Linked DNA regions of Xenopus tropicalis. The protein of the gene in region 2 interacts with the protein of the main gene of each other region in a pairwise test. Links are inferred from orthologs where the notes say so. Each region holds a gene or a part of one and is shown on either strand. Other genes may lie near its edges.

Region 1 (11,381 bases), on a different chromosome or scaffold from region 2:
ATAAATATAACCACCGGTACTAACTGTAGATATTAGTATCACAATAGCCTTGGATATTCTGATTGATCAAGAACTCATCCAGGCCCCTCTTAAAGGCATTAACAGAATCTGCCATTACCACATCACTAGGAAGGGCATTCCACAACCTCACTGCCCTCACTGTGAAAAAACACCTACGCTGCTTCAAATGGAAGCTCCGTTCCTCTAATCTTCTCCACTTACAGAGCAAGTTTATGGTTTTTCTCTGAAATAAATATTTAAAAACATATACCTCACTGATGCCTCATTTAATGTAATTTTATTGGTATTTATTTTGATTATTGAAACTTAGCAGTAGCTGCTGCATTTCCCGCCCTAGGCTTATACTCGAGTCAATACGTTTTTCCAGTTTTCTTAGGTAAAATTAGGTACCTCGGCTTATATTCGGATCGGCTTATACTAGAGTATATACGGTAATTGGGTTGCATGTGTGAAAAGCAGAGCTGTGGAGTAGGAAGCAATTTTGGGTGTCTGAAGGCGGAGCAAAAATGTACCAACTCCGACTCATAATAAATTTAAATTGTAATGATAAGAAAATACAATATGTTACAATGTTCTATTTGACAGATAACAGACATAATTAAGTACTTCTCTACTGTAAGAATAAAGCCCAGTGCGTTGTTGTTTCACTCTATAACCTTATTGTTTTCATTTTTTTTCATTTGTTTAAACTTAAAGATTAAGAAATGTTTGTAGTTTATTTAATAAATAAAATAAAAAGCCACGATGACACAAGTAACTTTGTACCCGTAACTTTGTACCTGAGCAGACGACCATAAAGTATTTCAAGAGAAATGTGATAAAGCCAAAAAAAACCACATTTCATTACGAGAAAGGTTGTGGCTGGGACACAGGACCATGTACAAACAAAGGATCTAGAAAGCTCAATGGTCAGTGCAAGGGTGTCCCTTAAAAAGCCTCCTATCTTGCAAAACATTTAAATGTGCAAGCTAGGGAGCACCAGTTACACAGAGTGTTGGGGGTCCCTGTACTTACCACATTCATAATGTGATAATTCACTGGATATAATATAGCACAAGATATAAAGGCTAGTACACGCAGAATATTGCCCTGGGCACAAGTGCTCTGTACATGGGCCTAAGGGGTACAAATTTGTTTCCTTATTGCTCTAGCACTTGCGCTTGGGGCAACACTAGCTGAAGACCCTGCTGGTTAACATGTTTGGAATTGTACTTATTCTGCCTGCAGTTAAGGAGTTAATAAAAAGGCACCAAACATCAATAAATATGATAATTTCTAATAGTGAAAGGGATTGCTCCCCCATTAAATATTTATTGACTGATATGGAGTTTTAGATCCGTATGTTAAATATTTATGAGCGTGAAAGCTGCACTGATTGATAATGATATGAATGTTCCCACGTGTAAAGGTGTGTGTAATTGTGCGATGCTGTCACACAAGCAAACTAGCTGAAAGGCAATATAAATATGTATATATTAAAATAACAAGTAAGAGCTTCTTTCATTTGATTATATCCAACCGGCAATCCAGACTCGATAGGATTGCTTTTTATGTTATTGCACAGATATCCTAATTCAAAATAAATTAAAACGTGTTCAAGTATGATGATAAGGAATGGTTTTCAAGGACACAAAGAAAATCTCAACCCTTTTCTCGTGCGGTAATGTGATACCAAAGAACTTCAACAAACAATCCCCCAAAATCAAAGCACGGCTATTTTGTGTGTGCCAATAATATCACTAAACTATTGACTTACTAAGCTCATGAAGAATAAGGGCAACTAAACCTCTGACTTCTGCCATTTATACTCCAGGCTGAACAGATGTTTTTATACAACTTATAAATGCAGCTTAAAGTAATACTGTGCCCCGTTTGGTGGTGCTATCTTAAATAACTTAGGGGGATTCAAACATCTAAGCAAAACTGAGATCCTGTAACAGGAATCAAAAGACCTATATATAAAATTTAAATGGCACACTATACTGTATATATAGAATATAAAAGTCACACTATACTGTATATATAGAATATAAATGGCACATTATACTGTATATATAAAATTTTAATGGCACACTATACTGTATATATAGAATATAAATGGCACAATATACTGTATATATAGAATATAAATGTCACAATATACTGTATATATAGAATATAAATGGCACAATATACTGTATATATAGAATATAAATGTCACAATATACTGTATATATAGAATATAAATGTCACAATATACTGTATATATAGAATATAAATGGCACAATATACTGTATATATAGAATATAAATGTCACAATATACTGTATATTTAGAATATAAATGTCACAATATACTGTATATTTAGAATATAAATGTCACATTATACTTTATATATAGAATATAAATGTCACAGTATACTGTAGTTTCTTAACAGCTGCCCAGATCACACTGAGCATTTGTAGTGCCGCTGACACTCCAAAATCCAAGATGGGGAGCTCTTGTGTACAACATTGAAGGCCTGGCTTGTTACTACAATAAAGATGCTGAAATAAAAGTATTGCATTAAAATAATATCCCCTTTAAGTTTTAATTCAAACTTCATTATATTCCAGATTCCAAGATCTGCATTGCCAAATATAAAAGCAAAGGTGACCACACACAGATCATTACTGGTCCACTGAGCAGCAGAAATGAGCAGGAAAGCGGCAGAAGATGCGGTCTGTATTGGTGAATTAAGCAGTTCCAGTTCTGCCTGGTCCCCACCTAAACAAAACAGCAGAGGGTGCTCCTTTTACACATTTATGAAATTAGCAATGTAAAAACTGCTAATATCATAAATGTGGAAAAGGAGCACCCTGCTGTAAGGTCCATACGGACCAAATCAGCAGCTTTTATTGGCCCATGTATACTCTTAATAAAGGACAAGACAGTAAAGGAAGGAGAGCGAGAACCCCTTCTGCTTATGTCACCTTGACTAAGAGACCCTCTATCCTCTTTCAAAGGGCTTTCCCCTCAATAATCTTTCAACCACTACCCCAACTGTAAACTAATTTGGATTTGACTTTTCGTAAACACATATCTCCACCCCGTACTACAGGCTCTATCTTTTGAGCCCACTGCATGCTGCACCTCTACTGATTTCCTTCTGATTTTCTTTGACCATAAGAAATCTCCTTATACTTCAGAATCATTAGCCAGCAGTGCACCGCTAAGAAACCTGAATTCTGCACCAATTGCACTATGAGCGCAGCACAATAATCAGAAGTATGAAAGGCAGATGAGAGCACTTGTCAGGAGATTGCTGCTTTCAAATGAAATGCAAATAAAATCAAGAGAGGCAGAAGGAGGCTGTGACATTGTTCTCTACACCAGTGTTTTTCAACCTTTTTTGGGCAAAGGCACACTTGTTTCATGAAAAAAATCACGAGGCACACCACCATTAGAAAATGTTAAAAAATTTAACTCTGTGCCCAGCAGCAGTGCCCCCCTAGTACATTGGTGCCCAGCAGCAGTGCCCCCTAGTACATTGGTGCCAAGAGCAGTGCCCCCCTAGTACATTGGTGCCCAGCATCAGTGCCCCCCTAGTACATTGGTGCCAAGAGCAGTGCCCCCCTAGTACATTGGTGCCAAGAGCAGTGCCCCCCTAGTACATTGGTGCCAAGAGCAGTGCCCCCCTAGCACATTGGTGCCAAGAGCAGTGCCCCCCTAGTACATTGGTGCCCTGCCTACGGCACACCAGGCAACAGTGGTTGAAAAACGCTGCTCTACACTGTTGGCCAGGGCCCTTGCTAAAGCCATAGCCAGATCCAAGTATTGTCCTTTAAAAAGGAAAATCATTTCTGTTCAGGTCCTTTAGAGCCCAAAGTTAACAGACGACTGAAACAGAATATACAGCAAATGCTTTAGACAGAGTTCTCTATTTGGTTGAGGAGGATATAAAAGTTTACATTTGGCAACCCTTTCCTTTCTGACAAGTTTTATCAAAGGCCTCTCCAGTCATGGAAATAAAAAGGTTACTTTTTTTAAAGCGTAAATTTAATGAGTTTTAACCAGACCACACTACTTTACACAGCATGCAGCACTATCGAAAGGCACAGCATAAGTGACCCATTTTCACTGTTGACAGCATTTTCTCTTTAGACCTATGGTGCACACAGCATCATACTGGTATGAAGTATCCATATTCAGGGCGGGACCATAGTGCCCTCCTTACACTCACAAATGACTCATGAATCACTAATAGAATGACATGCTTATATCTGGGGGACACTTGCTACTAATAACCACTTTTATTAAAAGTGAATACAATCAAATATGCCTGTGGCAGAAAGGTGCTGAGAGTTAGACCAGTCATGCACACAGCATGTTAAAACCTGTTCATAACACCCATCATGTTTACAGGGTAACCCTTTTGAAATAAAAAATAACAAAAGTGGTATAAAGGTGATACCTTTATTGGCTAACTAAGATAATCATAGCAAGCTTCCAGAACATTTTAGTTCCTTTTTTCTAGCCAATAAAGGTACAGGTATGGGATCCCTTATCTGGAAACCCATTATCCAGAAAGTTCCGAATTACGGAAAGGTCATCTCCCATAGACTCCATTTTAATCAAATAATTCACATTTTTAAAAATTATTTCCTTTTTCTCTGTATAAATAAAACAGTACCTTGTTCTTGATCCCAACTAAGATATAAGCAGTGGGGGATTTTTGGTCCCATTTAAAAACTGTTGAAGTCACACGGAGCTACTAGTAGCAGCTACTTTTTTACAGCTACTAAATGCCAGAAAATCCCCTGCCATAGACAATACTGAGAATTGCCTCTGCTAAAAAACATGTTGAGACTGTTATCCAGGGCTGTGGAGTCGGTAGAAAAATTCTCCGACTCCTCAGTTTCTGATACTTCCGACTCCTCTGTTTTTAATATGCGAATGTATTTTATACATTCATACAGTCAGTGAAAAGCATGCTTCATGGTCACTCAACGTGTTAGTTTATGCACTGCGTGCATTGGGCTTTATTCTTATAGCAGAGAAGTAATTAATTATGACTGTTTGTGAATTGGGACATTTAAACTTGCTTTATTTTTTTTTTTTTATTCCCATTTAAATTTAGTAGGAGTCGGAGTCGGTTCATTTTTTGCCGACTCCGACTCCAGGTACCCAAAATTGCCTCCGACTCCTCGACTCCGACTCCACAGCCCTGCTGTTATCAGTAAATGATCAGCATTGTCTACTACAAGTAGCAGCTACTATTAGCTCCATGTGTCTTCACCCTAAGGGCTCTGGTACATGGGGAGATTAGTCGCCCGCAACACGGGAGATTTGTCGCGGGCGACTAATCTCCCCATGTACTAGAGCCCTAAGGGTACAAACCCACTGAGTGAGTTAGGAGAGATCTATCACATGTGAGTAACTGCTTCGAAAAGGCTTTCCACAGGTAACAATAGAAGTCGCTGGTGGAAAGCCCTTTGTATCGTTTCGTGTTCCGAAGTTGCACAAAGTTTCCTCCTGCAGGCAACTCTGCGTGAGTAGTCCTTTTTGGAGCAGCTACTCGCATGCGATATTGTGGGCAAGTAACTCGCTCGGTGGGTTCTTAGCCTAAAGCTGGCCATACACGGGCAGATCCGCTCGCTTGGCGATGTCGCCAAGCGAGCGGATCTTCACCCGATATCACCACCTACGGGTGGCGATATCGGGGAGGAATTTCGGTGAATTCGATCGTTTGGCCCTGGGGCCAAACGATCGAATTCTGCAAGCAGCAATGGGGCAGTCGGTTCGGGGACCACATCAACGAGCCGATGCGGTCCCCGGTCTGACAGGATTTTCTAACCTGGCCGACCGATATCTGGCCAATTTCAGGCCAGATATCGGTCGGCCAGTCCGATCGTTTCTGCCCCTGCACGGGCCGATAAGCTGCCGAGTCGGTCCAAGGGACCAATATCGGCAGCTTCTATCGGCCCGTGTATGGGGACCTTAAGAGCCTGAAGACAAAGGCAGAAACAACCGAAAATATAAAATGAAGACTAGTTGAAAAGTTGCTCAAAACAGGCTATTCTATAACATACTTAAAGTTTAACTGAAGGTGAACCACCCCTTCAAAAGCAGAAAAAAATGATGTCCTACGTATTTTGGGGACTCGGGCATAAAATAGCGGGGGATAAAACTAATTGGGTTGGGGAGTTGGGTTGTGTGCGTACAGTGTACAGTACAACATAATGCACTTTGCAGAGACTTTACACATGTCGAGTTCAGACTCGAGCCTGTATTATAAAAGTCCTCTCTATCAAAATCAGATGGATCAGGTGAGGTAAAAAACGTGATTTATAAATCAGACTAACCTGGGACAGCCATAAGTCACAATTCTCAGCGTCCGTACACAGAAGATCGCACCCCTCAAACAGTTACTGCGCGCCTCCTAACCAATTCACTTCCTCGGAACTCAATCACAGCATGGACTTGTTTCTCAGCGGAACAGAATAAGCGGTGCGCAGTGGAACGCAAATGAAAGCTCTGGTTTCCGGGAAGTGTACTTTCGGCCACACTAAGAGAAAGGGGGGAACTAAAGCAATGCAACTCTGGTGTAATCATCCTCTGCTGTAGACGCTGTGATCTTGGAGCATTCGGGTAACAAAATACGAGCTACTATATAACTGTGGATGGGACGAGTCCTGTTAACGCTCTTTGCTGTGTCATTTTTAAATCAGAATCTTCTCTGGCACCCCTCTGAGGCTGTATGTGGGCGGTCCCGTCCTGTCAGGTTGCACGCTGGAGTTTGTTTGCAAGAAGCTGAGTAACAATGAGCAATATTTACATTCAGGAGCCGCCGACAAACGGCAAGGTGAGCAGCGGGAGAAAGTAAGGGGCTTGTAGGGCAGAAGGATAAAGGAATAATATTTAGCATGGGATTCCCATCTGCTGTTGCTGAAATATCTCTCCCAGCGCGGTACCTGATAAAGGAAATGTAAAGTCTATAAGTAAATTTACTCAATGTTTTTCTGTGAAAATACATTTCCCAGGGTAAATGTTTTAGTTTCGCGTCATGTAGCTGCCCCCCCCAGCTGTCAGCACATTGGTATAATCCACATGGGGAGCAGAGAGGACTGTGCTGCGCTTTATGGAGACTCCTCCTGCATATTCAGCCCTAGGACAGAGCTTCTGAGCTGACTAACTAATGTCCTGCTAGGAAGGTGCCCAAATGCACCAGTGCAGGCTGTCCTTTAGTTACATGAATGGGCTCCAGGCGAACCCCAGCCACATATATAGGCTATATACCAAACTAACATACCTAAACTATATATACCAACATCAATACTAACTGTAGATATTAGTATCACAATAGCCTTGGATATTCTGCTTGTTCAAGAACTCATCCAGGCCCCTCTTATAGGCATTAACAGAGTCTGCCATTACCACATCACTAGGAAGGGCATTCCCCAACCTCACTGCCCTCCCCGGGGCGTGAGGAACCCCCTACGCTGCTTCAAATGGAAGCTCCGTTCCTAAGGGGGGGCCTCTGGTGTGGTGGTTGTTTTTATGGGAAAAAAAGAACCCCCCCATCTGCCTATATTCCCCTCTAATGTACTTGTACAGAGTAATCATGTCCCCTCGCAAGCGCCTCTTTTCCAGAGAAAACAACCCCAACCCTGACAGTCTAACCCCATAGTTTAACCCTTCCATCCCCTTTACCAGTTTAGTTGCAGTCTCTGCACTTTCTCCAGCTCATTAATATCCTTCTTAAGGACTGGAGCCCAAAACTGCACTGCATACTCAGGGTGAGGCCTTACCAGGGACCTATAAAGGGGCAAAATTATGTTTTCATCCCTTGAGTCAATGCCCTTTTTTTAAGCACTTTATTGTAGCCACAGAATGACACTGCCTAGAATTAGACAACTTGTTATCTACAAAAAAAACCAGATACTTCTTTATTAAGGATCCCCACAACACACTACTATTTAGTGTGTAATATTATTACATTATTATATTATTTCTACCCAAGTGCATAACTTTGCAGTTTTCAACATTAAACCTTATTTGCTGCCCAGTTTTCCAGCTTTGTCAGCTCTGCAAAGCGGCAGCATCCTGCATGGAACTTATAGTTTTGCACAATTTAGTATCATCAGCAAAAATAGAAACAGTACTTTCAATGTCCACCTCCAGGTCATTAATAAACAAGTTAAAAAGCAAAGGACCAAGGACTGACCCCTGCGGTACTCCACTAACAACACTGGCCCAATTAGAAAATGTTCTATTTACCACCTCTCTCTACACTGTAATCTATCCTTCAATCATTTATTTATCCAATTTAAAATATTATGTTCCAGTAGTGCTGGGCGGTATACCGGTATATACCGAACACCATTTTTTTAAAAAAAAAATGATAAAAATTTTTAACTTACCGGCATACCGGTGTGGGCGCCTCCTGGCAATTTTTCTTACTATTTCCGGGTTGTGCGCGCTGACGTCGCGCGTGCAACCCGGAAATAGTAAGAAAAATTGGGGGGGGGGGGGTGTTTGGGGTGGTCACCTAATCATGCATGGGGAAAAAAAAATACCGTCAAATACCGTGATACCGATATAATAAAAAAAATACCGTGATATAAATTTTTGGTCATACCGCCCAGCACTATGTTCCAGGCCAAATTTTACCATTAACTTTCTGTGCAGTACTGCTAAATGCTTTAGCAAAGTCCAAGTAGATCACATCCACTGCCATCAACTTGCTCACCTCCATATTGTTGCTCAATGTCATCCCATTTCTTTCTATATGATGTACCCATAAGTATCTCCTGAACTACGCTGTGATAATTATATATCTAGTTCCATGTAAGAGGTAAAGAAGGTCTACAGCAGTGAGCCCCAACCAGTGGCTTGCAAGGAACATGTTGCTCCCCAACCCCTTGGAAGTTGCTCCCAGTAGCCTCTGGCTTGGATGCAAATTTTGGGGGCATAAAGACCATGTGTACTGCCAAACTGAGCCTCCTGTAGTCTGCCCATCCACGTTGGGCTACCTAATAACCAGTCACAGTCCTCATTGTAACCCCTAGAAAACTTTTTCGTGCTTGTGTTACTCCCCAACTTTTTTATATTTAAATAATGCTCACGGGTAGGGTAGGATGTCCTGTGTGAACTTGTGTCATACTATATGCCACACGTGAAAGACAAAGGCAGCAAGAAGAGGAAGAAATCCTGCCCAAATAATAATTTTTACTACCACTTTTCCAGGTTTTGCTGAAAACAACTGCTGGAGAGATTGACATTGAATTGTGGTCAAAAGAGGCACCAAGAGCATGCCGAAACTTTGTACAGCTTTGTTTAGAAGGTAACGTTGCAAACAGAAACACACACTTGCAATAAAAGCCAGATTACTTCAGAACTTTAGAAAACCGTTGATAATGATGCCTTGCTAAGCTGATCCTTGCAACCAAAGAGAAAACCAACAGTGGCAGGCAATAATTTATTATTTTTTGCTTCTATTGGGTCATAGATTTGATTTTCTATTGATTTCCCCCTTCTTCTTCCCTTTTTAAATTGGGTAATCTATTTCACAACCCCTTATGCACTTTGTTTTAATAAATGTTATGCATTGTAGAAAGACATTTCACATTATTAAAAGAAGTGGAATCCCACTCTTAACGTCATGGGCGGCCGTATATGGCACTCAAACCATAGCTTAAGAACCCTTGCTTTATAGTGACACATTAACCTATGCTAAACTATGTGGGGATACAATAACAGGTGGCTAGTTTGCTCCAGTCCTGTGAAGCCAAAGCAAGAAATCAGTTGCAGGGGCATGCTGGTTTGTAAAGCTTCCTATTACTATTGTTTAATTATGCCTAGAACTACACATGTTAAAAAAGCTACTTATGGTGCAAAGCTAAAACAAAAAAAAGCATTTATTTATGAAAGTGAAAACATGGCAACTACAATTCTGTCCAGTTGCTGGCTGCTGAATAATTCTTTTTACTGACACTGCTAGATTATACTAGATTATACCTCATATCTGTATGCTTAAGCACAGCTTTTCGTTGTTTTCTTTTGTTAATTAAACCTGTTTGATAGATATGCAGTACAATAGGACCCATGTGGAATATTTCATTAATGGAAGACCTAGATGGAGCATTGAGTTCATGTTATCACATGACCATACCCATATTAATGGTGGTAGTACAGCAAAAACCTGCCATACTCTGCCTTCCCTACCCTGCCTGTGTGTGCCATACTCTGCCTGCCCTATGCTGCCTGTGTGTGCCATACTCTGCCTGCCCTATGCTGCCTGTGTGTGCCATACTCTGCCTGCCCTATGCTGCCTGTGTGTGCCATACTCTGCCTGCCCTATGCTGCCTGTGTGTGCCATACTCTGCCTGCCCTACCCTGCCTGTGTGTGCCATACTCAGCCTGCCCTACCCTGCCTGTGTGTGCCATACTCAGCCTGCCCTACCCTGTGTGTGTGTGTGCCATACTCAGCCTGCCCTACCCTGCCTGTGTGTGCCATACTCAGCCTGCCCTACCCTGCCTGTGTGTGCCATATTCTGCCTGCCCTATGCTGCCTGTGTGTGCCATACTCTGTCTGCCCTACCCTGCCTGTGTGAGCCATACTCTGCCTGCTCTATGCTGCCTGTGGGTGTCATACTCTGCCTGCCTTACCCTGCCTGTGTGTGCCATACTCTGCATGTCCTACCCTGCCTGTGTGTGCCATACTCTGCCTGCCCTACCCTGCCTGTGTGTGCCATACTCGGCCTGCCCTACCCTGCCTGTGTGTGCCATTCTCGGCCTGCCCTACCCTGCCTGTGTGAGCCATACTCAGCCTGCCCTACCCTGCCTGTGTGTGCCATACTCTGCCTGCCCTATGCTGCCTGTGTGCTGGCACTGCTCCTACAGTCTGCACAATAACTATATATTTAAAAACTTTTTAATTGCAGTACCACCTCAGTATATGTTTTTTGTAGTGTGCAGGGTTTATTTGTGGGTTTCTACTGCTCCTACAGTCTGAGGTGTGAACAGGTGAACAATGTGGGTGATTACAGCCTGAGCCTGAGGTTTGAACACTGCAGGGGGTGAACAATGCAGGGATTAAAAGGTGTGAACAACACAGGGGATTACATTTTTAAACAATACAGGTGGTTTTCAGCCTGAATCTGAGGTGAGAACCATGCAGGGGGCCAGTTAATCTCAGTACTGATACCATTTAAAGTTTACACAAAGGTAAATCATCAAAGCAGCCAGACAGGTGGGGCGCCACACAGAGGAGTATCGCCAGTTGGACAGCACTGTTTTATATAGTTCTCTATTGTTTTTTCATTGTACTTCTTTTTTCTTATTTCTTTCTCTTCTTCAGGTTATTTCTTTATCATCCAGCATTGTCTCTACCAATAAAAA
Region 2 (4,292 bases):
TAGGGTGTAGGAGCAGAGAAAGCAGACCCAGCAGTTGCTCGCTGAGGGGGGGCAGGGATATAGGAGACTGGTCTGGTGTGTGTGTGTGTGTGTGTGAAAAAGACACATTTCCCCAAGACGTGGGAGATTCCTATGAAGAGTTCCTTACCTTTCGAGCAGAAGACCACCCTGGCGCCACTCTTTACTGCAGATACGAACAGAAGGGGCACAAAAGAGAGAAAAGAGTCAGTGCTACAGGCACATACATGCAGTATCTATGGTAAATGGCTGCTGCTGTATTGTAACACACTGAGGATCCATAGTAACACATACATGCAGCAGGATTGGATTTTGGGCTTGAGAGAGCCTTTTGTCTCCACAGTGGGGACTTCTCCTAAAGCAGGGCCCACAACCTTTCTTTCCCGTGAGCCACAGTCAAATGTAAAAAGACTTGGAGAGCAACACAGGCACCATAAAAGTTCATGGAGGAGCCAAATAATGGCTAAGATTGGCTATTAGGCAGCCTCTATGCACACTATCAGCTTACAGGGGCTTTATTTGGTAGGAAATCTTGTTTTTATTCAACCAAAACTTGCCCCCAAGTCAGGAATTCAAAAATAACTCCCTGGTTTGGGGGCACTGAGAGCAACATCCAAGGGGTTGGGCAGCAACATGTTGCCCCCGAGCCACTGGTTGGGGATCACTGGCCTAAAGCTGCTATTAGTGCCATGTGGATGCACGCTGCAATGTTTGGCGACTGGTTTAGCCTGAGATCAGGAGCCTTAGGGTAGGAGAGGCCCAAATTGTGTCCTTCTAGCACCTAGAAACTATGACTCCCTCTTTCTTTGCACTGCAATTAGAACAGGCTTGGTGTGACGAACCAGAAAGCTTTTCTTCTATTTCCTAGAAAGAATAATCAGTCACCTGTCCCTTATTACCCACACCTAGCAGTAATGCCCCCCCTATAGTGGGTACTTAGTTACTTCCCAAAGACTAGGGGGTCTGGATGAATGAGCCCCATAGTCAACGAAGTAAAGAAGATATGAAAAGCCCAAAGCAAGCTGATAACCTCCGTATTGCGTGGGTCATTATAAAGGGTATAGTACATTCTACACGACAGAGCGCCAGAGAGGGGGTCGAGCCTACACAACCCATCCCCACAGTAATAACAGGAGAAATCCTGCCCTCTGGACTTTGAGCTGAACAGAACAACCCAACCAAACAAAATGTATGTGTAACTTGTCCTTCTGCCAAGTCAAGCCAAACAAATAACACATCCAGGGCAATGTACAGATGTTGCTGGGCCCCACTATGTATACAATAGTGACTGTTTGACTGTCATTGAATTATAAGTCCCAATAAGGTGGGTGCCAGTTATACCTCGAAAAGAGCCCAAGGGGCATATATTGGGCAATGCTAATATAAAGTGCAACTGTCTGCATCTCTTCCTTCTGCTCCCCGTTCTTTTTACCTACAGCTGCTGCTCTGGCCCTACAATGTGCAGGGTTGAGGGCCATTACCCTTGCTTCCCACCTCAAGCTTTGTTGGTGTGATTAACCTGCCGACCCTCAAAATCTAACAGAAAAGTAGTAATAAAACTCCATAGGGCAGAACTCAGTTGTGGATATTGGCTGAAAATGCATCAATACAACAACATCTGGATTCTAATTTTTAGATTCGTTTTTAATTGGCCTATAGCGCTAGGATGACAGCAACAGCAAGCTTCATCCAACAAGACTAATCATAGACTTAGTTATAAATACAGGAGACAGGGTTAAACCATCTTGGCTGAAATACTGAAATTAAGGCTAGCTCCATATCCTTTTAGAGCAACAATGGGCACATCCACAAAGTTGGTGGAAATCCTTAATGATTCTCAACACAATCCATTTTTAGTATCACTATAATTGTGCTGCATTGGCTTCTTAGCACTTTAGTTCCACTTGGACATTGGGCATTTGTTGAATGCCAGTTCATAGCATATATATATATATATATATATATATATATATATATATATATATATATATATATATATATATATATATACAGTATATATAAATACATTATCCACAATTCTTCATAAACCTCAGTTGTAAAGTGGCAAAGTGCCACTTTATGTGAAGGGGTCATGGTAACAATCCCCTATAAGCACAGAGACCCATTTTTGAGCTTTGAGCACTGGATTCAGAACCATTGCCTTACTCATTTGGCTCCACTCTAGTTATAAATGCATTGAGGCGCTGCACTAAACCAGTAGAAAAGTGTGGTACTGGCGCTAAATAGGGATGCACCAAATCCAGGATTCGGCCAAGATTTAGTCTTTTTCAGCAGGATTTGGGCGAATCCATGCCTTTGGCCAAACCAAATCTGAATCCATGACGTTTTGTCACGTAAATATGGAAGTTTCTCTTTAACCTTTACTTTGCTTGGTATTCGGCTGAATCTTTTGCAAAGGATTCGGGGTTCAGCCAGACCCTAAAAAGAGGATTGGGGGCATCCCTAGTAGAAGAATGCAGGTACCCCAGTGCCCAGGGCTGCTTTATGCCACTGCCCATATACACAATAATAAATAAAAGGCAGATACATTGGGATTTAGTTATAAACTTTAGCAGCAAACTGAATCCTTACCAAACTCCTTGACCATTGCTTCTCCGATGCCCTTGGTGCCCCCCGTTATGACTGCCACCCTGTCACGGTACCGCAGACTCAGCTCTGCCCCACTGGCAGCCATGGTGCTTCTCCTGCGAGGAACCCAGTAGCAGTGCCCAGAGCTGCAGGGAGCAGAACTTCAGTCACGCTCTGAGCAGCTGATCTAACAGGAAATAAGTTGGCTGAGCTCCAGGCCCAGGGAATTATGGGGGGCGTAGTCCTGAGAAGCCAGTGTTAAGAGTTATGTGGAATCCCATTGTTTTGTATGGAGAGGAAGAAATCTGCTCCGGCAGGGTGTGTATCTGTGCAGCCTGAGAATTACCTGCTAATCGATTAACAAGCAAAGACAGGCTAATAAAGCATTTATTACTATATAATGAATGTACCCGAATGGTTGGATACAGGAACAGGGAATATTTTACATTTGAGATATTGAATTAAAGGGACAGTATATCCCTAAAAACATATTTGCTAAATATTAGCACATCAAATAGGACTTATGCTAAAATTACATTCTATTGTTTTAATTAACAAAAATAAAAATTTTCCTATTTTTTGCCATTATAAAGCACTCAAAGCAAAAGTTGCTTGGTAAATCATCTTGGCATGCCATTGTCCTTATCCACTAAAGTACAGGTATGGGACCTGTTATCCAGAATGCTTCACACCTGAGGTTTTCCAAATAAAGGGTCTTTTTGTAATTTGGATCTCCATACCTTAAACCTAATAAAAATCATTTAAACATGAAATAAACCCAATAGGACTGTTCTGCCCCCAATAAGGGGTAATTATATCTTCGTTGGGATCAAGTACAGGTACTGTTTTATTATTACAGAGAAAAGGGAATCATTTAACCATTAAATAAACCCAATAGGGCTGTTCTGCCCCCAATAAGGGGTAATTATATCTTAGTTGGGATCAAATACAGGTACTGTTTTATTATTACAGAGAAAAGGGAATCATTTAACCATTAAATAAACCCAATAGGGCTGTTCTGCCCCCAATAAGGGGTAATTATATCTTAGTTGGGATCAAGTACAGGTACTGTTTTATTATTACAGAGAAAAGGGAATCATTTAACCATTAAATAAACCCAATAGGGCTGTTCTGCCCCCAATAAGGGGTAATTATATCTTAGTTGGGATCAAGTACAGGTACTGTTTTATTATTACAGAGAAAAGGGAATCATTTAACCATTAAATAAACCCAATAGGGCTGTTCTGCCCCCAATAAGGGGTAATTATATCTTAATTGGGATCAAGTACAGGTACTGTTTTATTATTACAGAGAAAAGGGAATCATTATAACCAAACCTGGTACTATTTTCTAACACCAATATGTTAATAAATATCTTACAATTATGGGAAGAACTAAAATGAGGAGTGTTTAGGGCACAATGAGCAGATCCAAAGAATGTACTGGGTGTAATAGAAAGGGGCAGAGTATTTATTACATGATCAGGAGGGCAGATGCTACTAGAGAAAGTAACCCCTAAACTCTAGGAACCCCAAATTAACTAGAGAATGCTGCCCCCCCTGCTACTGTGTAGCAAACCCAATCAGTGCAGAGTAGATATCCTGGGCCATCCCACTTACCTGTTTGAGGAGGGGAGCAGGTCCTGCAAGGGGAGGGTTGGTTCTGACAATTCATATACTTATTAA

Evidence for each region. The genes of interacting proteins can lie anywhere in the genome.
Region 1: the proteins of hsd17b14 (region 2) and srek1ip1 interact in binary tests that used the Homo sapiens proteins (3 or more experiments, as listed by UniProt). The two-hybrid records come from large-scale screens. The link is inferred for Xenopus tropicalis from reciprocal best matches to the Homo sapiens genes HSD17B14 and SREK1IP1.

What each region holds. Positions count from the first base shown.
Region 1 is NC_030677.2:188,224,349-188,235,729, reverse strand, and holds the start of srek1ip1 (protein SREK1IP1), read right to left. Parts: upstream 6,428-11,381; 5' UTR 6,357-6,427; coding exon 6,344-6,356; intron 1-6,343. Other genes in the region: spliceosome-associated protein CWC27 homolog, read left to right, coding at 6,802-6,843, 9,228-9,324. UniProt on the Homo sapiens protein: Possible splicing regulator involved in the control of cellular survival.
Region 2 is NC_030683.2:114,406,471-114,410,762, forward strand, and holds the start of hsd17b14 (17-beta-hydroxysteroid dehydrogenase 14), read right to left. Parts: upstream 2,801-4,292; 5' UTR 2,714-2,800; coding exon 2,611-2,713; intron 185-2,610; coding exon 149-184; intron 1-148. UniProt on the Homo sapiens protein: Catalyzes the NAD(+)-dependent oxidation of L-fucose, yielding L-fucono-1,5-lactone, which rapidly converts spontaneously to L-fucone-1,4-lactone. Can also act on D-arabinose and L-galactose, with lower catalytic efficiency. Does not use NADPH.